Linked DNA regions of Diceros bicornis minor. The protein of the gene in region 1 purifies or fractionates together with the protein of each later gene. This does not show direct contact. Links are inferred from orthologs where the notes say so. Each region holds a gene or a part of one and is shown in the gene's direction. Other genes may lie near its edges.

Region 1 (7,419 bases):
TATAGCATAATTTCTATTCAAATGTCATCCATCTTGAGCCCTTCTCTGACTACCCTATCCCCCCTTACCACCCACCCAATCCCTCCTTCTCTACTTTTTAAAAGACCATAGCACCACCTAAAATAGTATGTATTTATTTGCTTGTGCTTATTATTTTGCCTCCTCTCACCACTAGAAGGTAAGCTCTGTGAGGGGAGATACTTTGTCTTTTTATTGTTCATTGTTATATATCCAGCATCTAGAAGAGTGCCTGGAACATAGCACCTGCTCAGTAACTGTTGTTGAACACATGAATGTATGTCTAACATTCCTCCCTACATGTATACTGCCTCTCCTGTTAGACTGCTCTTCTTCTTCCATTCTACATCTACATTAATGCATCATCATTCACTCAAATGTCAAAAGGTTATTCTCAACCCATCCCTCTCTTGAAATCACCCAACATCAGATTGATAATTTTTTTGTGTGTGAGAGGAAGATTATCCTTGAGCTAACATCTGTTGCCAATCCTCCTCTATTTGCTGAGGAAGACTGGCCCTGGGCTAACATCCCTGTCCATCTTCCTCTACTTTATATGTGGGACACCTGCCACAGCATGGCTTGAGAAGTGGTACGTAGGTCTGTGCCTGGGATCTGAACCTGTGAGCCCTGGACCACCGAAGCGGAGTGTGCAAACTTAACCACTATGCCACTGGGCCAGCCCAGACTGATAATTTTTTTAAAAAATCACACTGGTGGCAGAGGATCAATTAAGAACAATGCCTGAAGATCTGGGAGGCTACAGTGATAATTCATATGAAGGAAAAGGCCTAAACAAGGGTGGCAACGATGGAACTATGAAGGGGGAAATGGGAGATATTTAAAGGTTCCAATTGACTGGCTCCAGGACAGGAAGCTAGCTGGAGTAGCTGACATTAATCAGAATGGGAAATACAAGGGAAGAACATGTTTGGAGGCTGTGAGAAAAGCAGCCTGGGGAACACTAACATGATATATTCTCCCACCCCAGAGCTTTTCTTTCCTATCAGCTTAGTCTTGTGCTGCATGACATTAATGTTCTTGCCAGTAATCTCACTTCTTTTTCCTTATCTTCCTGTTGTAACTATGTTGATAATCCCCACACTTTACATCTGCCTTCTATGTATGCTGCTGGAGAATGTCTCACATTTATGGGAAATGGTATTAACATAAACGTACAGTCTCCAACCTTAATTAAGCCCTCAGAAGTGAAGAACACTTCTCAGGAAACATTAGCTCCTTCTAATTTCCACAGTAGCTATTTTGGACACTCACCATTTGCTTCAAGCCCCTAAAGCAGCCCTCCTAGAACCTTTCTCTTCATTTCTCAAAGGCTATTAGGCACCACTGCCTCAACTTCTTGCCTTCTCACCCACTTACTTATCATCTTTGTACTTGTACTTACCTCCTTCCTCTGCTTCAGAGAAAGAGGTGGCCCCCCCTCATCATGCTCTAGTTTCTTCGATCTCTTAGGGACTTTGACTATTCTCTTCTATCTTCAATCTCCAGTGCTCCATTAGTTTTTCTTCTCAGCACTTAGATGTACTCATCTCTCCTAGCTCGTAAAAAGTTTGTTTGGTTCTTCTTTACAAACTCCTGTGAAACAAGTTCTCAGCAGTGACTCCATTTTGTACTCTGGACTCCATCTTCTTAAAAATATGAAACTGTGCTGACCTTGCTGACTTGCCAAAAGGAGATATTTGCTGAGAAAGGACTTTCTGAAGGACTGTGCAAAAATATACTTTTTCTGGTAACAACAAGATGTCCTTGAGTAAGCCAATGCTAATTCACTCTCCATTCATAAATCTTAACAAACAACTGAGGTAATTGTTCTGGGCTCTCCATTTTGCTAATAAAAACATCTGACTTTTACTCCTCAGGGGGACACTTTTCTGGCTGCTGCGGGTACCTGTGTTCCCCGAATTGCAATTCTGAGACTCCAAATAAGTGATCTCCTTTGCTTTGCAGTTGCCTCTTTTTTCTAAGGTGACAGTCCATTCTTCCTGTACCCCATCTTTCCCTCCACAACCAAGAATCTTAAGTCTATGCTTGGTTCCTTTACTTTACCTTTCATTCACTTTGCAACTCACTAGAAATTGGATTTCAACTCCATAACTTCATTTGAAATTGCTCTATGACCTACTAATTGCTAAATTAAATTGTGCCTATCTTGTCTTTTCTCACATGATCTCTTTCTGGCATTTTATACTTTTTGTATAAAATGTACTTTTTGCCAATTTTCACCTTTTCTCCAAGTTTTACTCACTTACTGACTATGAAAACACTCAAATCTCTCTCTCCATTCATTTTTTTTTTTTTTTGGTGAGGAAGATTGGCCCTGGGCTAACATCCATGCCCAACTTCCTCTACTTTATATGTGGGACACCTGCCACAGCATGGCTTGATAAGTGGTGCGTAGGTCTGCAACTGGGATCTGAACCTGCGAACCCCAGGCTGCAAAAGTGGAGTGCTCAAACCTAACCACTAAGCCACTGTGCCAGCCCCTGTCCATTCATTCTTAACATCACGTACCGGTTTTTCTTTTTCTAGTGAAAGAACTATTACCTTCCTGGAAAAATTAATGTTTAATTAGTTCAGTTCAAATAACTGAAAAGTAAATTCTAGCTTCTCTTACTTGTGCAGGAGAAATCACAGGCTTCACAGCAATAATATATCTCAAAGTAAGAATCAATATAATTGAGGCAGCAAATAATTAAGAAGGAGTTTGGAGTTATTGAGTTTGGAGATGAAAAGTGACAAGATGAATTCTGGATTTTAGACAAGCAATCTGACAACTGAGTGGAGAGGGATTTGACAGGGGGCAAGAACTGTGCTGTTATCATAGCTCAGGTGAGAGAGAAATTAGGCTAGTCATAATGAGGATGGAGAGACATGGGTGGATTGAAGATGTTTAGGTGATAGAATTTCCAGACTTGACACACGATTGTGCATGGGCAGTAAGGGAGCAGGAGTCAAGGATTATTTCTAGATTTCTGGCTCTGGCAACTGAGTAGATGGATGAAGTCATTCATGGAAACTGGAAACACTGAAAAAACAGTGAGGAACTAGTGGAAGAACTATTATCTTCCTGGAAAAATTAACTTTAAATTAATTAATCAAGGTACTTTGAGTTTACCAAGTGGAGTTGTCCAGTAGGTAGCTTGATGTACTACAGCTGTAACTTAGGAGAGAAATCTAGGCTGAAAATAGATTTGGGGGGCATCAGCCATACCTGGCAATTTAGGTCCTGGGGGTAGCTGAGATTGCACAGGGAGTATGAGAACAAGCCCTGGGAAGAAAGTCTTCCTTCCAATAAATATATATATTTTTTTTGTGAGGAAGATCAGTCCTGAGCTAACATCCATGCCAATCCTCCTCTTGTTGCTGAGGAAGACTGGCCCCGGGCTAACATCTGTGCCCATCTTCCTCCACTTCATATGGGACGCCACAGCAGCATGGCCTGACAAGCGGTGCATCGGTGTACGCCCAGGATCCAAACCCAGTCCCCCAGCAGCGGAGACTGCGCACTTAGCTGCTAGGCCACAGGGCCGGCCCCCCAATAAATATTTAAACTAAGAACTATCCTTTCGTGGTTTCTTCTTTAGTCCTTTCTACCTTATTCTCCCTGATTTGGAGGAAGTGGAGCTGGACACCGGCATAGAGCGTTTTGATGAGCAGGGTCAGAACAGCTGTCATAGATTTTACAGCAAATTGAGAAAGGCTTACGGAGCATGTGGTGCCAGAGGGAAGGCGCTCCTGTTGAGAGACTTGGGTGTTGTCAATAGTTGGAAAAGCAAGGTCAAGAGCCGTTGCTTCTATGTGGAGGAAAACCAATTTCTGGACAGTGGCTAAGGTCTCCGGCAGGATTTGAGGGATGGGTTCGGACCAGAACTTGTTGTCATGGAGATGGGACGGCTACAAAGTGACGAGTGAGATTATTCAAAAGAGATACTAACAGTCAAAGTACTGAAAAAAGAGAGAGATGCTGAAAACCTTAGTTACTTGAAAAAACACAGATAGGTAGGTTAAAACAAACCATACACCCAACAGCGAAATGGGACGGCTGAGGTTAGGGCCGCGTTGCTTTCGTGTCCCTTTATACACAAAAGGGAACTGGACCCTCCTCGCCGGAAGCAGAACCTCTGCCCTCTGGTGTATTACACATTCCTCCGCGCCGGAAGAGTGCGTCTTGCCTCATAGCCGCCCGCTTCCCCCACCCCTACCTCTTCTATAGGAGAGATCGTGGGACCTCTAGGGTGTGCCGCTTGAAGTCGTCCGACCGTTCGGAACTTTCGCGGACAAGGAGACCAGGAACGACACTGGGTTGCCAGGAAAGGCACGAAGAAGAAAGGTCGTACAACAAGGCGTCGCGTTGCTGCGGAGGGATTCTGTTTTTTGGGGTGCGGAGGGATTTGACAGTACGTTAACTTCCGGAAAAGTCCTGGCCCTGAGAGGAAAAGCCCCGAAGGAAACAATAACAAACGAGAGGAGGAAGCGATTCTGGGCTTACCGTGTTGAGCAGGTCTTGTTCGAGAAGATGAGCTTCGGCCCCTGTCAGGGGACGTGAAAGGGGTCGGTGGGCTTCAGCCAGCCTTTCTCCATCTGTCCCCGCACGGGGTCCCTTGGGTGTTGCCATGGCGGGCGTGGGGCCAGGGGGCTACGCGGCGGAGTTCGTGCCCCCTCCGGAGTGCCCAGTCTTTGAGCCCAGCTGGGAGGAGTTCACAGACCCACTCAGCTTCATCGGCCGCATCCGGCCTCTGGCGGAGAAGACCGGCATCTGCAAAATCCGACCGCCCAAGGTACCGTACGAGTCTGAGGAGAGAGGGGGAGAAGAGAGCGTGGGGAAGTCGATATGCTAGGTTTAGCTTTATTTTTCCGGTCCTCCTGTCCTTTCATCTTTACTCTCCCTCATTTCTAACAAGTAGAAGCTAAGTTTCTGGATATTTTTGCTTTGGTTTCTCTTGCAGTCTTAGGTAGGCACGTCTGAGCGCGAGAGAGCGGAGTCCCCGGGGCCTTTCCGCCTAGAACTTGGGAACAGATACTTCGGGTTGTGGGCAAGGGTAACAGAAGGCTTTAGGCCGATAAGGTGTTTGAAGTATTGTGCCATGACGTACAGTCAGATACAGTCCCCATTAAGGTGCGATAGGAAAAACTGCCCTTCCGTCGGCTATTTTTTTATCGAAGTCTTATCGATGCTTAATTTAGTAAATATTTGCAGGCCTCATCTTGGGGCTAAGGTTTCTTAAACGGTAATCTGAGCCCCAGTTGTCCCCTAGGATATATCACCAAACAAGAACCCCACACTGGTTACTGCTGCAGTGGAAAGATCTTCCCGGGGGAAGAGAAGGAGCAGCATTTATTTTTAAAATTTAGAGGTTTAGGACAAAATTGTCACAAAAGTGGAAGAAAACTTTGGCATCTTTTGATGTAAGGAACCATGGATCAAAGATTTACGAATCGCAGTGATTGCAAATAACTGGGTTTGCCTATAGGTTAGTTATAGTTCTCAATCGTTAGGATACCCCTTGTTTGCGGAAATTAGTGTCCCAAGAGGTTGGGTGATTTGCTCAAGGTCAGAAGATTTTTTTCTTGACCCATTAGACCATTGCTTTCCAGATGATGTTCCTGGTCCACCTGCACCAGAGTTAGCCCTATGCTTGCTAAAATGCAGATTCCTAGGCCTCATTGCGAGACTAGAATCAGTTTCTGGATGTGGAAGTTCTAGAATCTACTTTTCTAGCAAGTACTCTTAGATGGCTCCTAACGCACATTAAAGTTTGTGAACCATTGCCCTAGGGCTTCGTAAAGGGACCTCTTGCTTTATGTTTTGTCTTCCGTTAACAAAAATAAAACATTAAGTGCTGTTTTACCCATGTCGCATTTTAAAAAACGTCTGCTCTTACCACAGTGAATAAAAAGAGCTTAGATGGGAGGGAGGAGGAGGAGCTAGTTTAGCACCTACAGATTATTTCGTTTAATATTCTTTTAAGCCCTAGTAGGTAAATAAGGTCTCATTTTACAGATAAGGCAAGTTGGAATAAGTTAAATAACTTATCAAATGTGTGATCTTGGGCGAGTGGCAAAGTAGATTTTGAACCTAGATCAATCTGCTTGATTCTAAAATCTAGACATGCTGCTCCCATTATGCTTAATGAATTTAAGATTATAGACTATCAATTGCAAGCAAAGGATTAACAGATAATTGCTATGATGAATGATGATACATGGGTTGCCATCCTCCAGAAGCTTTACTTAACTCTTTTTTAATCAAAATTATCTAATATTGACAAAACCTTAAGCACTGAAGTTTTTCCTAAACCATATTTTCATCTACTCTATTGTGTTTAGGAATTAGAAATTCTAGCAAAGGTTCCTTTTGGTAAAAAATTATAACTTTTTTATTACTTAACAAAAGGTTGAAATAATGTACCTTCTCTTTGTATGTCATATTATTTTTGAAAATAAATCTTGTTTACAAGCAGAATTTAATTTCAATATTGGTGGATTTCTTTAGTTTCCAAGGTAAGATAAGTTTTTTTTTTTCCCTACTTCTCATGTTTTTAAATAGATTTACTATTATTTAGGCCAAATCAAGCTATGTTCTCTGAACCCTACTTGAAATGTGCTGTCTCGTTTAAGTTATACCACATCTCCAATCTGGAAATTGTCCTTGTTCTGTGGGTTTGCTTACTTTTTTTAATATTTGGGTACCCAGAAGCTAGGCTTTGAATATAACATTTATATAACATAGACTGTAAAGTGCTGTGTCACATTACACACAAATGGAAAACATATTATTCCATTATATAAGTACTTTTTAAAAATTATTTTAATTTTACCATTTTTTGTTTCTGTCAAATTCTGTTTTTTTAATTTGGTAAACTTGGATGTTTGTTAGACACTGTATTGAGATACATGAGCTCATTACATTCCACTTGAATAATTGGGGAAAGCATAATTGTGGGATGTAAGTAAAGGGACTGGTGAGAGTTGAGGATTACAGATAAGGTAATTTTAGTATTACTTAGAATATTAGAGATAAGTAATTAGAGATAAATAATATTAAAATTATTCACCTAAAAAATACTAGTCTTTCTGTCTCTACAACAAAGAAGACTTATGAACTGATCTGTTGTCATCATGATTTGTGGCAACTGACATTTTACATTAAAGGAATGAAGAATGCATCCCTTGCTTATACCAATATGTTTTTTAAAAAAATTCTTTCTGTTTAGGATTGGCAACCTCCATTTGCATGTGAAGTAAAAAGCTTTCGTTTCACTCCCAGAGTCCAGCGCCTGAATGAGCTTGAGGTGAGTGTTCACCATTTCTGCTTCCTGATTCATTACGTCAGGGATCCAGATAGAGAACTTTGAGAAGCTTATGTACCAGGACTCAGAG
Region 2 (7,120 bases), on another chromosome or scaffold:
TTTCATGCTCTTCACTTTTTTCCCTCTAAACTAATCATTACTTCTGAATAATTCAGGTAAACTGAGCAACTCTTTATTTCTTGAAACCTGAAAGAATCTAAGAACACACACATATGGGAGGAGATTTAACTCATGGGAATGAAAAAGAGCAAGAAGAGAGGAGAGGTGAAGATCTTCTAGGCCAGTGCTATCTCACACTATCTGTGAAGGAACTTTCTTTTCTTTTTAATTTCCAATATTTCATGAATTGATATGTTTGAAAATATTTTGAAAATAACATTTTAAAAATTACTAGGAAAATGAAAGCAAAGGGACGCAAAATACAAGCTCACATTTTTTAGTATTTTAAATAGTCATAAAATTACATTTCAAAAAATTAGAATTAAAAAAAATAGGATAAAAGAAAAAAACTACAAAAACTACACTTCGTTCACTGAAAGTGTACATGTAGGTGATTAATAGAAAATTGCTAATACACCCCTAATTTTTTGTCATTCCACAGTCATAACAACTAAATAAAAAGTTGGTAGTGAAGTAGCAATTTCCTATATTAAATGCTATAATAAACAATATTTAATATTTTAAGTTTTTCATTATTTAAAGTTTTTAACATTGACAAATGAGTGTGGTTCTTGTTAAATTATCTAATCTAGGTTGGATTGGTGACAATGTCACTAGCAGGATATAATGTATATCCAAACTGTTTCTATGTTTTATTTTAATAACATTCATATCGAGAAATCAGTCTCCAAAGGTATGTGTAAGGGGATGGAAGAAGAGATTTTAAAGCAATTTCAACAAGCTCAGGATATTCATTTTTAAATTCTACCCAAAATGAAGCAAGAGATGTTTTATTTTCAAAATTCATCTTCAATTCTTCATCAGTAGCCAGTTCCAAAAATTAGTCCTATAAAGTTAGAGTTACATTTAAATTATCTTTCAAAGATATGGATTCTGGATCCATGAATTCCCTATGTGTGGAGTTTATTTTCAATTCAAAATGTTTTATCAAATTCATAATTAGTTTATGTTTTATATGTAAATGCCACTGAAGTTTGATGGCTTTATTGCTTCATTAGTCAGTACCTGGTTTTAGCACTTCACTGTGAGTTATGGCTATGAACTCAGTAGATGGGGGATTATACTCGAGTAAAATCAGTACAAACTCTTAGATCTTGAATTCTTTGGAATCACTTCTCTGATGATTTGTTTACTACTTTATTATTACTAACACACTGCTGACGTGTCTTTTCTTGACAAAACAGGACAGTGAGGTTTGTTTTGCCATCTATAATTTAAGGTTAAGAACAAATGACAAATTTTTCTTCCCTAATTTAGCTACAAATTCCAAAAAACAGGCTTGATTAAAAATTAAAATGACTGTAAAAATAGCAAGTTATAAAAGTAAATAAATATTTACATTTTCAGATTTTTATTCACTTTTGGGTTACAGTTGACAAACTAACCTTAGAATTTCACTCCTTATAATGTGGTCCTACTGCACATGACAAAGACACAGCCATGCCACCTGCAACTCACCACACAAGTTGGAGAACACTTGAACTGTTCTATATTTTGTTAATGAGAGGTGTCCTATAATCATGTGCTTGGATATTGATGAAATGTCAAATTGCTATAAATGCTGCTAAGCACTTTTAATTTCTATAGTTATCTCCTCATGGACTACACACAAGCAGTTTGGAGGCTGGTACTGGTCCAAGGACCACATCTTGAGTAGTGCTGTCCTAGGGAACCTGCATTGAAGAGACTGGGAGAAGAAGAAGAACTAGTGGAGGAGTTTATGAAGTAACAGAAGGGAGGAGGAAAACAAGACCATAGATTTGTGGAAGACTAGGGCAGTTTTAAGAAAGAGGAAGGGGTTATTAACTGTGTTAACTGCAAGAAAGGTCAAGTAGATTGAGGACCAAAAAGAAGCTACTGAACTGACAATTAGGACATTGGTGACCTTTGAAAGAGTGATTTCAGTGGAGTGTTTGTGGTAGTAGTAGAAGAGAGCCAGGCATTAGTAGGCTGAGGGTTTGAGGAAGTAGATGGAACAAATAGGGCTACCCTTTCAAGAAGCTAGATGGTAAAGAAATGGAAACTGTGTGGTAGTTTAGGAGTGCAAAACAAGACTTTTTAGGCTAGGGGAGACTCAAAAAAAAATTTTGATATCACTGAAGGAGACTCAAGCTGAAGAGAGTTCTATCTCCAGATAGAAAATCTAAGAAAGATTTTTCTTTTTTGGTCTCACAGCCATCTTCTTAAATCTACTATGGAGGTGGGGGAGGATCAGGGGAAATTTCTATTAAGAATCTGCAGAATTTCTAATACTTTGGTATTACAACAGAAAGCTGTGAGGGGATGTAAGGATTTTGATTGACTCTATTGCTCCTGTAAGGATTTTAAATGTAGCAGGGGACACAGTTAAATTAATCCTTGGTAAAGATACACATCCTTTTGTAAATTGAGAAATGTCTTCGATTTATCTTAATTGTGGTAAATCCAAATGTTGATAAACTGAGTTTAAATAAAGCAGGTCATATCTACATATGAAGAGAGTTTACTTAGGTTCTCAGAACTGTCCTCCACTCTCCTGGCCTCCCCACCTTTAGCGAACAAGCATTTACCGTGTGCCCAACCCTTTGCTAGCTACTAAGGCCAAAACCATGCCTAAGATTTGGTCTCAGTCTTGAAAGGGCTCATAGGAGAAATACTATCAGTCGTGATGCTTTCTAGTGCAAACAACTGAAAACTTGCTCAGCTGAGGTCAGCTCTAGGGTTGGTGAAGTTAGAGGTTCAGTTATGTTATCGAGGACCCAGAATTTTTTGATATTCCTACTGTACCATCTTTAGCATTTCTGCCTTATCTTCAGGTCAGCTTGCCTTAAGTCACAATGGCTGCGGCAATTGCAAGCGTCACATCCTCATGATAATAGCTAAGTGGTAGAAAAACTGTGTCATCCTCGTATCTCATTTTAGCAGGCCTTCAGCAGACTATTTTTGATCTTGCAAAGACCAAAATTGCATCCTGAGCTCCTGCCTACACTAATCCCAGGCAAAGCGAATAGGAACTTGGATGGTATTTGCTCTCTCTAGCTGGGGCTGGGCATGGACCCTACCTTCTGACAAACTTCTGGCCCTCAAAAGAGGGTTTCTGAAGTTAGGCAGCACTAGCTGTGGAGTAGGCCAACGACTGCTAACCCTTTTTACATCCTGCTATATGTCATGGTATACATAGAGAATGATAATCAATTGTATGGTGTTTTCTTTAACGACATAGTGTAATGGATAAGAACCTCGGTTCAAATCCTCTGCCACCCATCAGCTCTGTAATATTGGGCAAATTAATTACCTCCTCTGAGCCTGTTTCCCCATCTGGAAAGTGGAATACTACTACTACTCATTTTAAAGGGTTGTTGCTGGGATTAAGGGAGATAATCATGTAAAACAGCCAGCACAATCCCTGGTACATAGTAAGCCCTCCTGAAATGTTAAGTCTGCCAGGCAAACTTCCATTCAACTGTCGCTGCTCTTTTGAGGTCTCAGACAATTCGACGGTGCCTCCTGTTTTTGCATCACTGTTAAAATATTTATCACACTATAATCTGTTCTTTACCCACAGCCCCTACTCCTCCCTTCCCTAACTAGTGATCTCTAAAAGGTCAGTAATTGTCCTACACTTTGTAGCTCCTAGTGATTGGCAAAGTTCAGCTCCTTTTACGCGTTCCACAAATGTTTGTTTTTGTTTTGGCCGACTGCTTAACGGATTGGGCGGGAGAGTGTGGTGGGGAGGGCGGGCGCCGCCCACGGGGGAGAGGGGCGTGCCCGCCGAGGGTGTAGCCGCCTGATATTCCCGGCAGGGCCTGAGCGGGAGCCGCTGCTCAACCCACAAACAGAGGGGGCCAGGCTCACCCACCAGACTGTGTAACGCTCCGTGACCGGCACCCAGGCCCGGAAGGGAGACTTTCGGGTAGAGACAGGTTCAGGCGGCGGCGGCGGCCTCGAGGAAGGCGGCTCGGCCCAGGCCGGGGCTCTGCGCCCAGCCCTCCCGAACCCGCACCCCCGCCCCGCGCACCGCCCGGCGCCCCGGTTCCCTCCCGACGCCGGCGGGCCCGGGAGCCTCGCGGACGTGACGCCGCGGGCGGAAGTGACGTTTTCCCGCGGTTGGACGCGGCGCTCGGTTGCCGGGCGGGGGAGGGCTCGTCCGGTTTTTCTCAGGGGACGTTCAAATTTTTGTAACGGGAGTCGGAGAGGACGGGGCGTGCCCGACGTGCGCGCGGCCTCCCTCCCGGGCCCACCTCCACCGCTCGCCGGCTCCTGCCCGGGCAGGGCGTCATGCCGCCCAAAACCCCCCGGAGAGCAGCCGCCGCCGCGGCCGCCGCCGAACCCCCGGCGCCGCCGCCGCCCCCGCCCCCCCCGGAGGAGGACCCCGAGCAGGACAGCGGCTCCGAGGACCTGCCTCTGGCCAGGTGAGCGAGCATCGCCGCGGCGGCCGCCGGCGCGCGAGATGGGCGCTCCGAGGGTGCGTCGAGGCGGGCGCCGCGGCGTCTCGGCGGGGGCGCGTCTTCTCCGGGTCCGGGTACCGGCGGGAGGAGGGTGCCCGCTTGTCCCCCGCCGCTGTGGAGCGCCTGGAGGAGGATGACAGGCGTCTGGGTGCGGGAGCGAGGGGAGGGCAGCCGGGAGGGGTCTCGGCTCCAGCTTGACAGGTGTCGGGCGGGTGGGGCTCGGGTCTCTGAGCGAAGTGACAGGTGCCGCCTTTCCTCAGCGAGTCGGGAGGCTCGCAGGCGGCGGGTAGTTTCGAGGCCCCATCAAACGCAAAGAGAAAAACAAAAACGAACTGGTGTCTGGCGGACAGTTTTTCTCCGGTCGAGATTTGTAGTTCGCCGGTGGTCGTTGGACTTTCTGTTTTGGTTTCCTGCGATGCGGCAGTGGGAAGTGTTTTTCTCCGGGCGCGCACTGCATCTGAAGCCCGGTCCTGGGAGAGGCCAACCAGGAAAGCCTGCGACGCTGCTGCAGAGACGCCTTGGGATGTGAAGTGTAGGGTGCTGGGTGTCACTTGCCCCCAGGGTACTCGACTGAGGTGCTATGTAGGATTTCCTTATAACAGTGCTTTGAGGCCTTGGGCTTCAGAGCCATCGATAGTGCCTGGTGGAACATAATTCTTTAGAGGAGCTCGTGTATGGGCAAAAGTTTTTTGAAACGTTAGTGTAAGTGCTTAAAAGTTTCTAAACGTTTTCTTTTTTCCCTGTTATATAAAATTCTTGCATGTTAATCTGCTGCAGCATGTCTCATTATTTCTTCCATTTTGCCTTTAGGCTTTGAGCCAGCAAGGATCCTGGTGTCCCCTCTTTTGTTCGTTTGTTTGGGTACAAAATTAGTGGTGTTCGTGTGCTCACATGGAACTATTTTTTTCCTAAGTGGAATCTAAATTTAAGCAAGTCCGTGATAATGCAGTAGAACATGACAGGGAGCCATTTATTGTATTGCAACATCTTATTTTTCTTGATTGTGATTCTTTATGGTTAAGAAGCTAAGATTGAGAGAGTGTAATTGTCATTATTGTTGTCAGCACTGGTCCTACTTTGAGACTACGCGTCCATTGCAGGGAATGAGCCTCCTTTCTGTCCCTCACCACTCCCTCCTCCCTTCTAGTCCATCACCAAGTCCTATTTCTTTCAACTCCCCAGACACTAACAGAGGTCAGGGGAATTGTAAAAGGTTGGAATGGGCTTTTGGAATTGGCCTGTGAAAGGCTATTAAAAATTCATATATTTAAATGAACTGTCTTACTGGTCAATTAAAAATCATGCTCACTAGTAAAAAAAAAAGTCTGAGGATGTTCTGGGAGAAGACATTACTTTAGTTTCTCATTAAACTGATGTATCCAATACTTGCAAGTTTCCCTTTGGAAAGAGCACTAATGTCTACTTTAAAGAATTCCATGTTATCCACATAGCTTTGGAAACATTCTCCATTATTGTAGGGTAACTAGAAGTTCTTGAAGTTCTGGCCGAGATCTGGGACTAGAAGAACTTTGTTTCTTTTATTTTTTCCCAACATATTATTTTGTATGCCTTTAAATGATGGAACTGTCAAAAATTCTCCTGTAAGTTAAATCCATACAAGATACAGTCTGCTGTTGATTATCCAGACCCACAAAAGGTTTCATTAGCATGGGCAATCGAACTCTGTAGATTAACTACTTAACAAGGGTAGAACCCTGGTCTGGTAATCTGAAACTGAGATTAGGGATGGATTCAGGGCCCAATTTAACTGCACTTCCAGTAACAGTTCATTTCTACCTTGAGAGTTGAGATCGTACTTCTGTTGCATTATCTCTGGCCTAAGTGATGTAGTTGGAAGGGAAACCATCACTAGAAACAGCACCCCACCTTCATTGTTGAGATAATCAAAAGTTAATTATATTTTGAGGGAGAGTTGGCAGTCTGGAATAGTTGTCAAGGGCGTGGATTATGGAGTTAGACTGTTGGGTTTATATCAAGGTTTTCCACCTACTAGCCATGACCTCAGGTGAGTGCTTAAACTTCTATGATTTGGTACTTATCTATAAAACAGGTTAATAAGAGTACTTACCTAGTAGGACTGATGTGAAGGTTCAGTGAAACCATGCTTCTAAGGTGCTTGGTAACGGGGTCATAGTAAGTACTCAAAAATTATTAGCTTTTTCTCTTATTATGATTATTCTTAGAAGTCAACTAGGTATTAAATGAATGAAAAGGAATTAGCCTACAAGTATTTATTAATTGCCTATCTTAGTTAAGGAAGATCGAGGAGAAAAGGCTGAAATAAGTGTAGCAATAATTTATGTCAAGTTGATCATCATGTGAGAAGTGCTAGTAGGTAGAGAGTTTATATGAAACATTGATAAGTGTAGACTGCATTTTAGCAAAGTCACTGATACTGAATTGATTCTGTAATATTATGTATGGGCTCTCCTATTTTTGCTGTTATTATTGTCCCAATTTTCCCAAACAGCTTTAGCTACTGTACTTATTTCCTTTGCCAAGCTGTTTTGCTGCTCTGAAGTATATGTGATTCACCAGACCAGCAAACATCTTTCACTCTGTGGTATCCTTATTTTGGAAAGACTATGAAA
Region 3 (7,692 bases), on another chromosome or scaffold:
GCTCAAGATTGCCAGCTAACAACCAGAAGCTAGGAGAGAGGCATGGAACAGATTATCCCTCACAGCCCTCAGAAGGAACTGACCCTGCCAACCACTTGATCTTGGACTTTTAGCCCCCAGAACTATGAGACAATAAATTTGTTGTTTAAGCCGCCCAGTTTGTGGTACTTTATTATGGTAACCCCAGGAAACTAATAAAATCAGGAAGTGATTTTGATTTTAAATTTATTTTTTTATACCTTATATTAAGTAATTATCATCTTCATTTCATTTCAAAAGCCTTAGGAAAAGCAATGGCTTGTTTCAATGTAGACCTCAGTTCAGCTCAAGTGAGGAAGTTAGGATCACAGCTCCTTCAGAAGTAACATTTAAAAATGAGCTTGATCTCAAAGGATATTTTGTTCTTATTGTTGGCTGATAATTTATTATGTTGACTAATGATTTATTACTATTTGTACTAAAAGAATATATTCAAAGATATACCAAATCAAACACATTTTATTCTCCCATAGAACTCATATTTGAAAACTTTACATTCAATTATTCTATAAATGAATTTAAGAAAGTGTGTTAATTCTCTGTGATCCAGTTTCTTCAACAAGTAAATGTCAAGAAAAAGAAAGAGACAAACAGAGTCAACTCAATTAAATGAAATGCAATGAAATGTGTGGACTGTGTTTGGATCCTGATTTCAACCAAGCAATCATAAAAAAACATGTATGAGACAATCGGGGGAATCTGAACACTGACTGGATACTTGAAGATATTAAGGGATTATTATTTTTTTTTATGTAATAATGGTACTGTGTTAAAAAGGGCCTTTATCTTTTAGGGATGCCTACTCACTTGTTTATGAATGAAATAGATATGATATCTGGGATTTGTGTGTAGGTATTTGGGTGGATGGAGGAATAGGTGGGTATAAATGAAACAAGATTAGCCACATGTTAATACCTACAGAAGTTGAATGATGGATACACCATGGTTCATTGTACTATCCCCTCTGCTTTGGTATGTGTTTTTAAATTAAAAAACTATTTCATTATGCAAAACCAAAAGTGTCCAAGGAAACAAGTAACCTCTTTGTCCAGTGATCAAATTTAGCATCACTAATGAGACAACCAGACATCACGTGCCTCCTGATGTGATGCAATGAGAAGTGCATAGCATCAGCTATAACATATTGTTAAAAACACTCAGATCTAATCAAGTCTTGAGACCTAACTTTAAGTTTGTAGAAAATACAGAGAAAAGAGAAACGAGTTAAGTGACACCATGAATAAACAATCAGATAAATCCAGAATGTCAGACATTCAAAAAGCCTCAGTTTCTTCAAAAGCAAATGTCATGAACAAATACTAATACCACTAATAATAAGGTGTATATGTGTGGGTGGACTGTTTTTGTGCCAAGGGCTCCGCTCCCACCCCCATGGCAGTCTGGTGAAGCCAATGAACACTTTTTTCAGAATGTTTTTAAGTGTACAAAATAAAAAACATAGGATTATAAAAGAAAACAATTATATTGAAATACAGCTATCAAAACATCTTAAAATATGATATGGTAATGTACATGCTTCATTTTTAATGCATTAAATAACAAGATCTAACAGCAGGTCTAATAAGTACAATAATTTCAAAGGAATGATGAATGTAAATATCTCTGAGATATATGTAGGAACTGTAATGTGATATGAAAACATCTGATTTTTATTGTGACAAAGCCACGTGTGCTGCTGATACTATTGTAGTTTGGTACCTTCATTTATAACAAAAGGAAATGCTAAATTTCACAAGTTCGGTGAAAATCAAGATGTAAGTTTTTCCCATCCAAGTTCACGGACCCTTTGAATTGTATCCATGGACTCCTACTTTAAGAATTTCTGGTCTAGAACGTTAAAAAGATGAGCTCTAACAACCAAATGCAATACATTGTCATTTAATGGATCCTGTTTTGAAAAAACAAGCAACAAGCATACAAATATAAAAATATTTTAGGAACAAGTGTGGAAATGTGGAGTAGAAATCGTATAATTTTAGGGAATTATTGTTAATCGTGTTGGGTGTGACAACAGTATTGTGGTACGTAGGAGAATGCCTTTCTATTTTGGAAGTACATACTGAAGAAATCAGACATGATAGGTGCTGATACAAGGCAAATACGGGAAAATACAATTGTTGAAATGAGATGATATATAATGTATTCTTTCTACGTTTCTGTATGTTTGAAATTTTCATAATAAAATATAAAATAAAGTGACTTTTGAGATATTTTTATTAAGGCATAATGTGGATAAGATAAAGTGCATTACTCGTAAGTGTACAGCTTCATGAATTTTACATAGGTAAACACCTTTGTAACCACACCAGATCAAGATATAGAACATTTCCAGCTCCCTGAAGTTCCCTAAGTGCCCGTGTCCAAGTCAGTGCCCCCTTCCACTCCAGTTAATCATGCTCCTGATTTCTAACACCATCGATAAAGTATATTTCTTTGCTGTCTGGTTTCCTTTGTACAACATGTGTTATATTAACACAAAATTTTAGAGACTGGTATTACTTTGTTAGGCAAGGATGTCGCAAAACAGGCCTTCTCCTAAATTGCTGGTTGAAATGTAAATTGATGAAGCCTTTCATAAGACAGTTTAAAATGCCCACATCCTTTGATTCAGTGATTCTACATCTAGGCTCTTAAAAAAAATAAAAGCAGTGTGCACAAAGATTTAGGTTTGAAAGACGTAGGTTTCTAACAGTGGAAAATTGAAAGCAACCTAAATGTCCAGCAACAGAACCAAGGTTAGATAAATTATGGTCTATTTATACTATGGTATGTCATGACCAATTAAAAATGTGAGATGGACACATGTAATTGGAGTGATCTCTAAGTCATATCGTTAAGTTAAAAAAGAAGAAGACACAGAACAATACGTACAGTCTATTTACGGTAAAAGAAAAAACAATAGGGAGTACAGAAAAATGTCCATGCCAACTGATGGGGAAGTAAATGAGGGAAAATAAAAGGATTCTTGAAGTTTTGCCCTGTATTTTATACTTGTGAATTGTTGCATCATGAACAACCCAAATATTCAAGTATCACTTGTATAGTTAAAACAAAGGCAAAAAATTAAGTTTAATATAAATAAAGAACATAATGAGGCTGCTAGGATAAAGAACTCTGCAAGGATCCTCCAACAACTGTAACAGTAGTACCTTTGTTGCGGGAATGGGCAGATGAGGGACCGAGGTGCGAAAGGAACTTTTCACTATCTTCATTTTTATATTTTTAAAATTTTGAATTATTGAATTATTTTAAAGTATTTTTATTCAAAAAGTTTAAAAAAGAAGTGTGCCGGACAGTTTGGTTGGGGTCACAAAGAGGCCCTTGCCCCTTTCTTTGATACTTGAAGGAGTAGTACCAGCAAGGTGGTGTATAGACAACTGGAATGGCGGTTCTTTGTGGATTTCTGTGGCCCAAGAAGCCATTGTGTTGGAAGGAAGATGGAAAAAGAAACCGGAGTCAGATAAATGGAGAGGAGTCTAGAATTGGTGGGATGCATAGCACGCTCAGGGGCGGGTTTAGAACAGCCGTGGAGACAAGTGTAAGGCCTGAGGGATGGTTGAGCACTGCTTGTGGACGCACTTGAATGCCAGGCTAAGGACTTTGGGATTCCTCCTCCTCAACGTTTGTTGAGCACTGATTCACTGTTAAGCACCGCAGAAGCCTTTCCATGCAACTATCACAGTAAACCGATGGAAAAGTGCTATTATTCTCCCCATTTTGCAGCTGAGCAAACTAAGGACTTTTTGAACATGGGAACGACATGAGGAAATTCGTTTAAGTTGTGTGTATATTTAATAATAGCCCAAAGAAATTAGGTGACAAAAGATTGCACAAATAGGGCAAGTGCAGAACTCCCGCTTAGATATTATACGGCATTTTTCGCGTTAGCCTCTTTCGGTGGCGCGCAGAACTCCATTATCTCGAAAAGCCAAAGCTCGATCCCCAGCCTGCCTAGTGTCTCCCATTCTTCCTCATTTCCTGGAAAAGGGTATGAGCAGGCGCCGACAAACGGCCATTAGTGCCACCAAATAAACTGGCAGTGAGCTTGCTAACCAACGAAACTTCTAGACGCCGACTCCATTTTCTGGCCAGACTGCTGGCCCTAAAGCTGTCCTATGCAGAAACTACTCGAGATGCTTTTGCAGGTAGGCTTCAGAGGCAGCCTTTTCTCTCAGGCCACTTCAAAGCCCACATCATTGTGGCCCTATATTGCCCATGGGACTCCACAACTGGGCTTTTCCCATTCTTTTATCGCCGGTGATGCACACCGCCACACTTCCCCTCGCACCAACAACGCACAAAATCAAATCCAGGCTTGAACAACCCCTGGCGGTCCGGGAGCAGGTAAATGGGGAATGGGGGGGGGGGGGGGCCAGGGGCACCGCCCTTCCCCCACCCCGCGGCGCCTCAGCCGCCTTGGAACTACCAATCCCGGCGTGCCCCGGGGCGGCGCGGGCGCAGGGGCGCGTGCGCGGCGGGCAGCCGTTGGCTGGAGCGGCGGCTGCGCGGGTCGCGGTGCTGTGAGGTCTGCGGGCGCTGGCAAATCGGGCCCAGGATGTAGAGCTGGCGGTGCCTGACGGCGCGTCTGACGCGGAGTTGGGTGGGGTAGAGAGTAGGGGGCGGTAGTCGGGGGTGGTGGGAGAAGGAGGAGGCGGCGGCGAATCACTTATAAATGGCGCCGAAGCAGGACCCGAAGCCTAAATTCCAGGAGGGTGAGTCTCGGCCTTTTGGGAAAGGGCACCTAACGGCGCAGGAGAGGGAGGCGGGCTTGATGTGGTCGAATTTGGGGGCCCGGGGGCGGCCTGGGCTGCGCCCCGAGACGGCGGCGGGCAGGGCTTTGTGCAGAAAGCGCATTGCGGCGGGTAGTTTCGGTGCGTCATTGGGAGAAGACGCCGTGTGAAGCGAAAGCGTCCCGCGGGCGTGCGAGTGGGAGAGCGCGCCTGGCGCGTGGCAGAGCCGTAGTCAAGTGTTTGTTATTGTTCTGAGGAAGAGGGCGCGGAGAAAGTAGCCTATTGTCGGGCGGCGACGGGTGCGCCATGGCGGCGCTGAGGGGAAGTGATGTGGCGGAGGGGAGGGGAGGGAGCGGCGGCCGGTTCGGGCGCTCGCACGGGGTCTCCGGCCGCGGGGGCGGCCAGCGGCGGGCGCTCCGGAGCCGCCTCGAGCCCCAAGGTGGTGGCGTTCGGTGGAGCCTCGGGGCTGCGGCCGGGGGGTGGGCTTCGCGCCCCGCGGCGGGAGAACTGCGTTGTAAAATGGCCGCTGCGAGATGGCTGGCGCATCATGGCCGCCGGCGCCGGCCGCGGCCGCAGCTCGAGGGCAGATGCAGCGCCCCCTTCCCCCGCGAGCGCGCGGAAGCCGGTTCCCCCGCGCCGACCTCGGGGAGAGGGGTAGGGGCCGGAGAAAGGAGCAGGGGCGTCTTTGTCTGCTTTGTGTCGCCCGAAGGCATCGTTTTGCTCTCCGAAAAGCCCGGTGCCAAGATCCGAAGGGAGAGTGCGCGCGCTCATGCTGTGCGATTGCTTGTATAAAAACAAATAAAAGCTCCTTTAATGCAGTATTGTGATGTTTCCATTTATAAGTCCTATTGCCTTGATGTCATCTTTTAAATACAGCAACTGTTTGATTAATTGCAATAACGTTTAATAGTAACTTGAAAGTTGAGATTTTTATTAATTGGGTTTTGATCGACAGGTCTTGGCTGACGGTGGAACCTGACTTCCAATGGAAGACAGCTCTTTAATTTTCACAATTAACACATGTATTAATGTATATTAAAGTGGAGGCTTTATAGTAAACTAAAGTGGAAATAAAACGCAGCAGGAACGCTTTAAAATTACCTTTTCATTGTTATGAATATATGTGCTAGTTACCATAGATGTCCAGATGTCTGCAAAAAAATTTTCTTGTAAGGATTTTCAAACGTTAATGTGCGTTAGGATTACCGTTAGAGTCATATACTCAAACCCCAAGTATATTGTAACCTTATGGAATATTTAAGAGTTTTTCAAGGGTATTTTTGATAATGACAGACTCTTAATACCTGCCTTCTCCCGTTTTGAGAAGCTGTGACTACCTCCTATGGATTCTTTTTTTTAAATCGCGTGTTTTAGAGCAGAGATTTTAAATCTAGAGTTAGTGGATTTAATTCAGAAGATCCGTGAACTTGGACGGGAAAAGTTTTTCTTTTTTTATTATCTAACTGAAATTTAGTATTTTAATTATGAATGTGGGCGCCCCCACCCCCGCCAAAAGAAAAACCTAGCAGTAGTAGTGGCAGTGTGTTTTCATATCCCAGGGTTTACAGTTGTGGGAGATATAGTCGGATGTCACTTATGCTCCTCATTACTTCAGAATTATGATAGTTACTGGATCTGCAGCTAAATGTTTACTACATCAATTAAAGAGCTCATGTAATATAGAAAATGATATTTAAAGTGTTTGGTAACTATTCCAATACAGTAGATTTCCTTTGTAGTACTGTGTTTTGTGTGTTCATAAAAACATTTTAGGAAAAGTCCTGTAGCCTTCACTAAACTGTCGGGTCCATGGCACAAAAAGTTAATCCCTACTGTAGGATATCAAAGGAAAATCTCTGAGGCTTGGAACAGTCAAGGATGGCTTTCTGGAGGAAGTGCTTTAGTTCTAAACTTAAAGAGATGGTCGAGTGAGGGGGGATAACGGCGTAGGGAACTCCATGTGCTGCTATTGTGGTGAAATAGAGAAGAATAGGAACCAAGGTACCCTTATTAAGTAAGGTTTTGAAAGCTACCTAAGAGAGTCTCTGCCCTTAACCATCACTTTCCAGATGTGTTTTCTACTCTTGTGTCAAAGCTGAGTTGTATAACCATCTTTAAGAAATTATAGTTAGTTATTTTTAAGACATACTTAGAGAATATATTGTAGGAAAAAGTAGAAATACTCAGTGCCAAGTATATCAAAATGTAGAAAAATCAATGTAGTGGAAAAATGAGTTATCAGAAGTAGTATTGTTTTCCTGATTCCTTTAAACGCCCAAGTTTTTCTCATCTAATAATGGTACAGCATATGCTGTCAGCAATTTTTAAGCACAGTGACTGTTTTGCACTGCACTTGAAATTCTGTTAAAGCATAGGGTAAAGAAAACTGTTGGGCGTCTAGCCCATTGTCAGAGGGAAGGCCCTTTTGCCTTGTCAGGAATTGAGAGACTGATGCGGGCTTTTGAGTGATGTTCCTAGTAAGCACAAACCAATGGGAAGATGGGGAATTGGAATCTCATCAACCTTGAATTTGGGAGCATTGGGCAGAATTACCTTTGTAGTTTGCTGGAAAGGATTAAGAGTGGAGAAGGATCTAAAAAAATGTATCTATTACAGTGGTTTGCTCTTTCCCCAATTGCCAGTCTTTCTCTCCACTTCCATAATAGGCATTTGTTATTCTGTGGTGCACTCCCTAGCTAGCTGTATATTTTTTCAACAGTATTAGGGCCAGGTTGCTAGAATGGAGGTCAAAATTGCACTTAGCATCAGTGCAGTTTTCTTTGACAGCAGCAGCCAGAGGGGGGTGTAGGGCCATTTTCAGGGTGCCTTTAAAGTGTACCTGGAAAGTGAAATTAGGAGACAGAGATCTGATCTTTGGTGCTGCTGTTTATTAATGCTGTGC
Region 4 (7,358 bases), on another chromosome or scaffold:
CCTGTGGGGAGGGTCCTTCCTTGCTCGTCCTGGCTGCTGATGGTTTGCTGGCAGTCTTTGGCGTTCTGTGGCTTCTAGAGGCCTTGTTCCAATCCTCTGTCTTCACCCGGCCGTCTTCCCTCTATGCGCATCTGTCTCTGCGTCCAGATTTCCCCTTTATAGAAGGACACCAGTCACACTGGATTAGGTCCCACCCTCACGACCTCATTTGAACTTGATTACCTCTGTGAAGATCCTATTTCCAAAAAGGTCACATTCTGAGCTACTAGGGGGCCAGACATCTCTTTTTGGGGGGATCACAGTTCAACCCCTAACAGCAGGGTATGGGATTGAAGGGTGCTGCTTCAGGGAGGGGGTCAGGGAAGGCCTCTGAGTTGATAACATTTGAGCAGAGACCAGTATGAAGAGAGAGGTGAGCCATGTGGCTATCTGGGGAAGAACATTCCAGGCAAAGGGAACAGCAAGTGCAAAGTGGCATGATCAAGGGGCCTACCTCACAATGCGGGGAGAATCAAGGACTTAATATATGAAAAATGCTGAGAGGCCTGCCTGCCTGGCACATAGTTAGCAGGCAGTTAATGAGTCATTATTATCATTATTATTATTGTTATTATTGATCCTTTTAACAGGCTCTGATTCGGTGCCTGCTGTGGGCCTGGCAGCCTTCTGGTTTTGGGGTGCTAGAATGATCTAGCCAGACAGCGTCCTGTCCTCATGGTACTGATGGCCTAGTTGGAGGAGGCTAAGACACCAAGAAGTCAACAGAGAACCACATGTGGTGTGATTGCTGGTAGCCATGTGCTCAGTACAAAAGGGTGACGTCATAGAGGGTGACTGCTGGGCGGGGCTGGGGCCTCTCCTCTAGATAAGGCAATCAAGGAGGGCATCTCTGAGGAAGTGACCTTCAAGCTGAAGGATCTTTCCAGATGAGCATGTTGTTAGGGGAAGTCTCTGGAGAAAGGGCTGCTGGTCAGGTCGAGATCCGTGGCCAGGCTGGCAGTGGCCTTTTGGGAGATGTCCTGAAGGTGAGAACACATAAATCTGATAAACGCCTGTGAATCACTTCCACTGAATTATAAAGAGCATGGATCCTGATCAAATTGGTGTCAAACTCCAAACTTCCTTTACCACCCGCCACAGCCATCCCAACCCTACACTGAATAAAGAAAACATAAGTGAGAAATAGAAAATAGTTCCCTAAGTCAGACCCCAGTGTTCACGTCTGGCTTCCAGACCATGTAGGAGCAATTAAGAACAGGCACCATGGATGCCCGTTTACTCTGGAGGAGAGTTGATCAGAACGTCCATCAGATGGCTCCATGTTCTCAGAGGGTTCTCTGGGTTGGAGTCAACACATCTCCTCAAATACCCTAGAAAATCCTTTTCTCTTGGGAATTCATTTATCTCCTAATGTTTCTGGGCAGTCAGGAGGGGATGGTAGGGGTTTAGTGAATGCTGAATGCAACCCTGTTGAGTCGAGTCCTCTGAAGTCCCTTCTCATCTAGAAAACACCCAGGGCTGCCTTTCTGACATTCCCACGGTCAGGTTTCTTCCCATTTGAAGCAACATTTTGTCATTTTGCTTCATTTCAGGAGAAAAGCCAGAAATATGACTTAAACTTAATTTCCCCCCACGTAGTTAGGGCTATGGAGAAAGCACAGGAAGACACGCCTGGATTCAAGATCTGGAACACGGGTGAGAGAGAGAGAGAAGAGAGGGAGAGGGAGAGCGAGCACTCTCTTATAATGTCATGGAGACCCTGGTGGATTTGTATTGTCAACCCACAAAAACAGAAACCAGTTTAAGAGGCAAAGAGTTTATTTGGGATCAAAAAATTGCAATTTGGGGAGCACAGACACAGGTAGAAACCCATATAGTGTCCCAGTTACAGGAGAGGGGCTCAGGGTGTTGATGGGAAAAAGGGAGGATGAGGTGAGTTGTACTGAGTTCACTGGTGCTGGCTGAGCTAAGTACTTCATGGATTGTACACAAGTCTGTACTCATAGATTGGCTTGAGATACGGTCATCAGGCCAAAGGCTGGACTTGTCCTTCATCGACTGGTTAGTGATTCGTCATCGGCAAAGTCCACTTTCATGGATCCTTACAAACAGGCTATTCTTGTCTTTACCAACTTCTTGGAATGTTGTGGTTTGGTCTAGTTTGAAATATAAAGACAACAAGTTGTGCAAGGCAGTTCCTCTGAAATGGCTGCTCCGGCTCTGTTTTAATATGGCTCCACTCATGTCACCTTTCACAGTATTCACTCATTCCACAAATATTTATGGAGCCAGGCACTTTGCTGGGCTCCAAGAGTCCAGCATCGAAACCAACGTCATGTCCCTGCCCTCCTGTACCTCACAGTGTGTTGCACATTCACATCTGATACAGGTTCAAGAAGAGCTTTGGCATGAGAGTCCCAAAGACTGGACACGTTGCCTCTTGGTCCTCCCACTGAACAGCGGTCCTCAGTTTTCCTCCTCTGTAAAACGGGTTCAGCCATCCATGCTGCGTAGTTCAGAAGGGCTTGTGGGAGGGCCCCAGGAAATGGCATCCAGGAAAACGGAGTAGAAGGATGGCTGTAGTGGTTGCTCCTTATGGCGTCTGTATTGGGTGCTAAGAACTGTGTGGGTCATTTTCTTTGAATCCTAACTCCACCTGAAGTGGCTGGTGCCGTCTTGCTTATCCAGAGGCAGAAACGGGTCAGAGCGGTTGAGTCACTCTTCCAAAGAGGCTCAGGACTCCAAAACGGAAAGGTAACTGAGAGAGGACACCGCTGGGGAGAGTTTGATGCGACCTGAGAGTTTGGAGTGCCACGTTAAATACCGCAAGTACTTAGACTAAAAGATTCTTGGTTGTTTATCTGAAATTCACATTTAGCTGGGCATCCCATATTTTTATTTGTTAAACCTACCACCCCACAGAGATTCTGACGTCAGGCTGGTGGAGGCCCGGGGTGTGGCTGAGACAGGAGGCCTTGGAATGAGCCACCAGCCCTGGGGCTGGTGAGCCAGGGGGTGGGTAGGAGCCACGAGAAGGGGCAAAGACGGGAAGGCCCAGAATCCCTGCGATGTCTGCAGCCTCCTGCCCCAGGGTGATCCACCAGTCCTGCCCCGGGGACTTCAGCCTCAGCTCCTCAGCTGCTCCTTTGTTTGAGCTGCTCCTCGGGAATTCCAAGCAGCGAGCTTTGTGCTGACCCGCCCTGCTCGGCGGCTCCTCTGGGCCACTCCCACTTCCATTTACACACAAATCCCTGTAGCTTCCTTTTGTAACCTGGTTACTCCCAGCCAGCTTCAGTTTTCCTGCATCCTCATTAAAACTCAACTCTCCTAATTCTTGGACTTGAAAATTGGGGATTCGGGGATCCTCGCATTTGATTCATTCAGCCATTCCCTGTTTAACATTCACCAAATTATTTTTGAGCACCTACTATGTGCCAGGGAGATAGAGAATTGAACAAGAGGCACTAAATAAGAAATCAATAATAGGAATTTATACTCAGTTACTAAACATGTATTACATATTAAATTATGATTGCCATAAGCACCTTATAGCAGGGGGATCCATTTTATTGAAAAGTGGGTCCAGGAAGGCTACCTTGAAGAAATGAATTTTGTGTTTTTTTTTTTAAATAATTTTATTTATTTTTTTATTTTTCCCCCCAAAGCCCCAGTAGATAGTTGTATGTCATAGCTGCACATCCTTCCAGTTGCTGTATGTGGGACGCGGCCTCAGCATGGCCGGAGAAGCGGTGCCTCGGTGCGCACCGAGGATTTGAACCCTGGCCGCCAGCAGCGCCAGCAGCGGAGCGCCCGCACTTAACCACTAAGCCACAGGGCCGGCCCCTGTGTTGGGTTTTGAAGGATGTGTAGGAGATACCTGATAACAACAGTGATAACTAAGTGGTGCCAGACACAGCGCTAAATAATGACTTTTACTACTGGAACTGATTTAATCCTGATGACGCTCTGGGAGGTGTTATTATCCACATTTCACAGGCCCAGAGAGGTTAAGTTACTCGCACAAGGTCACACAGTGAGTGAATGGCAGCGTTAGGATTTGAACCTTCCAGGCTGGCTGGGGTCTGGCTGGAGCTCAGAGAATGGAGCTGAAGTTGGAGAAGGGAATCCTGCAGGCCCGCGAAGGCTCACTTAAGAATTTGAGACTTTGGCCAGAGAACAATGGGAAACCTTTGAAGGGTCTTAGAGGTGGGGGGTGGGAGATGGGGGTGTGTCCTGGTCCAAATTGAAATTTCAAAAGATCCCTCTGGCTGCTGAGGGTGGGGGATGGGAGCTGCCTGGGGCCTGGGGGCTGGTGGGAGGCTGTTCCCTTCCTGCCCAGATAACAGATAATGGTGGCTCCAGAGCCAGCCACCAGCTCTGCAGAATGGAGCTACGCGGCCGGAATCGACCGTGGAAGACGCTCAGGAGGTAAATCCCACGGGGCTCTGGGGTGGGAGCGGGGAGAGGAGAGGTCAAGGGTGACATCCAGGTCTGGGGCTTGCAGAACTGGATGGGAAATCCGGGAGCTTGGTGGCCTGAGAACACCTGAGAGTTGAGTTTTGACCAAATTGCTCTATGTCTGGGATTTCTTTCTGCCTTTGGTGTGTTTTTTGTTGTTGTTGCTAAATTGGTTCCTATCGCCTTTGAGTGTTTCCTGTCTGTTTTGTTTCCCTTTCTCCATAGTATTTGTTTCTCGGTATTTTAGAGACCAAGAGGGCTTAGACTTCATTTTTGTTCTGAATGTCTTCCTTTTTCAGACGGGTAAATTACTTAATCTCTCTGCGCCTCAGTTTTCTCATCTGTAAAATGAGGGTAATAATGGTACCTGGTTCCCAGAGTTATTGGGAGGATTAAATTAATTAATACCTAAAATGTGCTTAGAACAGTGCCTGGCACGTGGTGAACCTCGATAAGTGCAAGGCGCTCTTCCAAGGTGAAGATGATAATATGGATGCTGCTGCTGTTGTCATGACAACGAGGAGGGCGATGGAGGCAGGGGTGGCTGTGGAAGGAGGCTAAAGCCCAGAGAAGTCACTCCAGTTACTTAGCAAGTATATGTTCAGCGTTTTTTGTACCCGGTAACAACCAAACTATTTAAGAAGTTAAAAGCTCAAGGAATTTACATTACACTCAAATAAGCTTTGAGACACTCTTGAGTGCCAGACCTGCTCTAGACCCTGGGTGACAACAGTATATATGAAAACGACACGTTTCCTGCCTGGAAAAGCAAATATAACAACACTTAATTTTAGAATGTGTTAAGTGCTGGGGAGAAAATAAAACTGCTGTTGTGACATGATGTGATCCCAGGGGGCCTCCTGGAGGAGGTGACATTTGGTCCTGGATCTGAAGCAGAAGGAATAAGTGCAAAGCTCCATAAGGGGTGGGATCTAGTTTGGCAGGAGACAACTGGCACATTTCGAGGACCCCAAAGTAGGTCAAGGTGGCTGGAGGGCAGTAAATAGCTGAACGGGAGAATTAGTTGATTTATATTTCTACATACCGCCATCGATGAAATTACTGGTATTCGACTTTTTAGATTCATATGCAAATTTTAACTGCATGCAGTTCAACCTAATAGATTGTGCAAGAAGTTACAAAGTCCAAATTGGGGCCATGGTTGATGCACTGGAGATCTTGTATAGATACTTCAGGTAAGAAGAAAAGGCCACTCATTAGACAAATATTTATCGAGAAACTATTACGCCCCAGGCCTATGCTGGCCCCGGGAACACTGGTGAACAGATATACAAGTCCCTGCCTTAGTACAGAGGCAAAAAGTAAGTAAACAAAGAAATACGGTGCTTAGATGTTGTGCTAAGTCCTAGGAAGAAAATAACATGGCGACGTCCCAGAAAACGTAAGGGAGTCTGCGTCAGATGGCTGGTCAGGAGAGGGCTCTGGCAAGAGGTGGGACCTGAGTCGAGAAGGAGCCACATGTGAAGGAAGGTGTTCCGGGGGAGAGACTGGGCGCATGAGACTCGAGGTGGAGCGAGCCTGGAGAGGCTGAGGAGGAGCTGAGGACGGAGGCCAGTGCTCCCAGCGCAGAGGGAGGGAGGGGGAGTCATCTTAAAGTAGCCCGGAGGGGGCTCTGCAGGCCATGCTCAGAGCAACAGGATTTTCTTCCGAAAGAGAGAGTTGCAAAGGTTTTCTGTAAAGACCAGAGAGTAAATATTTTAGGCTTTGAGGGCCACATATGGTCTCTGTTGCAACTATTCAGCCTTGCCATTGTGGCACAAAAGCAGCGTGGACTATAAACTAATGAATGTCCATGGCCGTGTTGCATTAAAACTTGACTTGTGGACGCTGAAATTTGAATTTCATATAATTCATGCAGGCCACAAATTTTTATTTTTGATTTTCTTCAACCATTTTAAAGTGTAAAAAGCCATTTTTAGCTAGAGGGCCAGACAAAAACAGGTGTGGGCTGGATTTGGCCCCGGGGCTGTAGTTTGCAGACTACTGTTCTGAAGTCATGGGAAACCATTGGAGGGTTCTGAGCAGGGGAATGAAAGGTTGTGATTTATGGTGGGAAGGTATGAAGACATGGCTCAGTGCCAGAAAGTGGATGTAACTCTGTAGAAACGAGCAATCATTTAGTCATTCAACAAACACCGAGTTCCTGTAATAGATAGTCATGATGCTGCTGGAGGGGACCCAGGATCTGTAAAACACAGTTCTACACTCACAGAGTTTATAACATAGCAGGGGAGTTCGAGAGCGAGATACAAATACTTACAACTTTAAGGTCAAAAGAGAGACACAAAAAAAGCAAAAGTTGCATTGAAAAATAGCAAGGTGGAGGACAGAGGTGGCTGGAGTGGAGTGAGCTGGGGGAGCTGGTAGGAGTTGAGGGGAGGGCATGCAGAGGAATTGGGATTTTATCCCACGTGAGATGAGCAGGCTGTGGAAGGCTTTTTTAATTGTGATAAAATACACATAATGTAAAATTTACCATTTTACCCATTTTAAAGTGTACAATCCAGTGGCATTACGTACATTCACAATGTTGTGCAACTGCTACTATCTAGTTCCAGAACTTTTTCATCACCCCAAAAGGAAAAACCCTGTACCCATTAAGCAGTCACTCCTCATTTCCCCTCTCCCCAGTCCCTGGCAACCATAAATCCACTCTCTGTCTCTATGGATTTGCCTATTCTGGATATTTCATATAAATGGAATTGTACAACATGTGGCTTTTTGTGTCTGGCTTCTTTTACTTAGCATAACGTTTTCAAGGTTCATCTATGTTGTAGTATGCATCAGTACTTCGTTCCTTTTTATGGCTGAGTAATATTCCATTGTGTGCATATACCACATTTTGTTTATCCATTCATCTGTTGATGGACAATTGGGTT

What was found.
Region 2: the proteins of KDM5A (region 1) and RB1 purify together in Homo sapiens (affinity purification with western blotting; 4 studies listed by BioGRID and IntAct, with this or other methods). This does not show direct contact. The link is inferred for Diceros bicornis minor from reciprocal best matches to the Homo sapiens genes KDM5A and RB1.
Region 3: the proteins of KDM5A (region 1) and MORF4L1 purify together in Homo sapiens (affinity purification with mass spectrometry; 5 studies listed by BioGRID and IntAct, counting the BioPlex papers as one, with this or other methods). This does not show direct contact. The link is inferred for Diceros bicornis minor from reciprocal best matches to the Homo sapiens genes KDM5A and MORF4L1.
Region 4: the proteins of KDM5A (region 1) and ZMYND8 purify together in Homo sapiens (affinity purification with mass spectrometry; 3 studies listed by BioGRID and IntAct, with this or other methods). This does not show direct contact. The link is inferred for Diceros bicornis minor from reciprocal best matches to the Homo sapiens genes KDM5A and ZMYND8.

Annotation. Positions count from the first base shown.
Region 1 is NC_080756.1:59,031,381-59,038,799, reverse strand, and holds the start of KDM5A (lysine-specific demethylase 5A), read left to right. Parts: upstream 1-4,407; 5' UTR 4,408-4,652; coding exon 4,653-4,817; intron 4,818-7,253; coding exon 7,254-7,331; intron 7,332-7,419. UniProt on the Homo sapiens protein: Histone demethylase that specifically demethylates 'Lys-4' of histone H3, thereby playing a central role in histone code. Does not demethylate histone H3 'Lys-9', H3 'Lys-27', H3 'Lys-36', H3 'Lys-79' or H4 'Lys-20'.
Region 2 is NC_080748.1:28,794,691-28,801,810, reverse strand, and holds the start of RB1 (retinoblastoma-associated protein), read left to right. Parts: upstream 1-4,103; 5' UTR 4,104-4,338; coding exon 4,339-4,472; intron 4,473-7,120. UniProt on the Homo sapiens protein: Tumor suppressor that is a key regulator of the G1/S transition of the cell cycle. The hypophosphorylated form binds transcription regulators of the E2F family, preventing transcription of E2F-responsive genes.
Region 3 is NC_080744.1:71,150,294-71,157,985, forward strand, and holds the start of MORF4L1 (mortality factor 4-like protein 1), read left to right. Parts: upstream 1-4,675; 5' UTR 4,676-4,732; coding exon 4,733-4,772; intron 4,773-7,692. UniProt on the Homo sapiens protein: Component of the NuA4 histone acetyltransferase (HAT) complex which is involved in transcriptional activation of select genes principally by acetylation of nucleosomal histones H4 and H2A.
Region 4 is NC_080758.1:14,223,276-14,230,633, forward strand, and holds the start of ZMYND8 (MYND-type zinc finger-containing chromatin reader ZMYND8), read left to right. Parts: upstream 1-4,345; 5' UTR 4,346-4,384; coding exon 4,385-4,428; intron 4,429-7,358. UniProt on the Homo sapiens protein: Chromatin reader that recognizes dual histone modifications such as histone H3.1 dimethylated at 'Lys-36' and histone H4 acetylated at 'Lys-16' (H3.1K36me2-H4K16ac) and histone H3 methylated at 'Lys-4' and histone H4 acetylated at 'Lys-14' (H3K4me1-H3K14ac).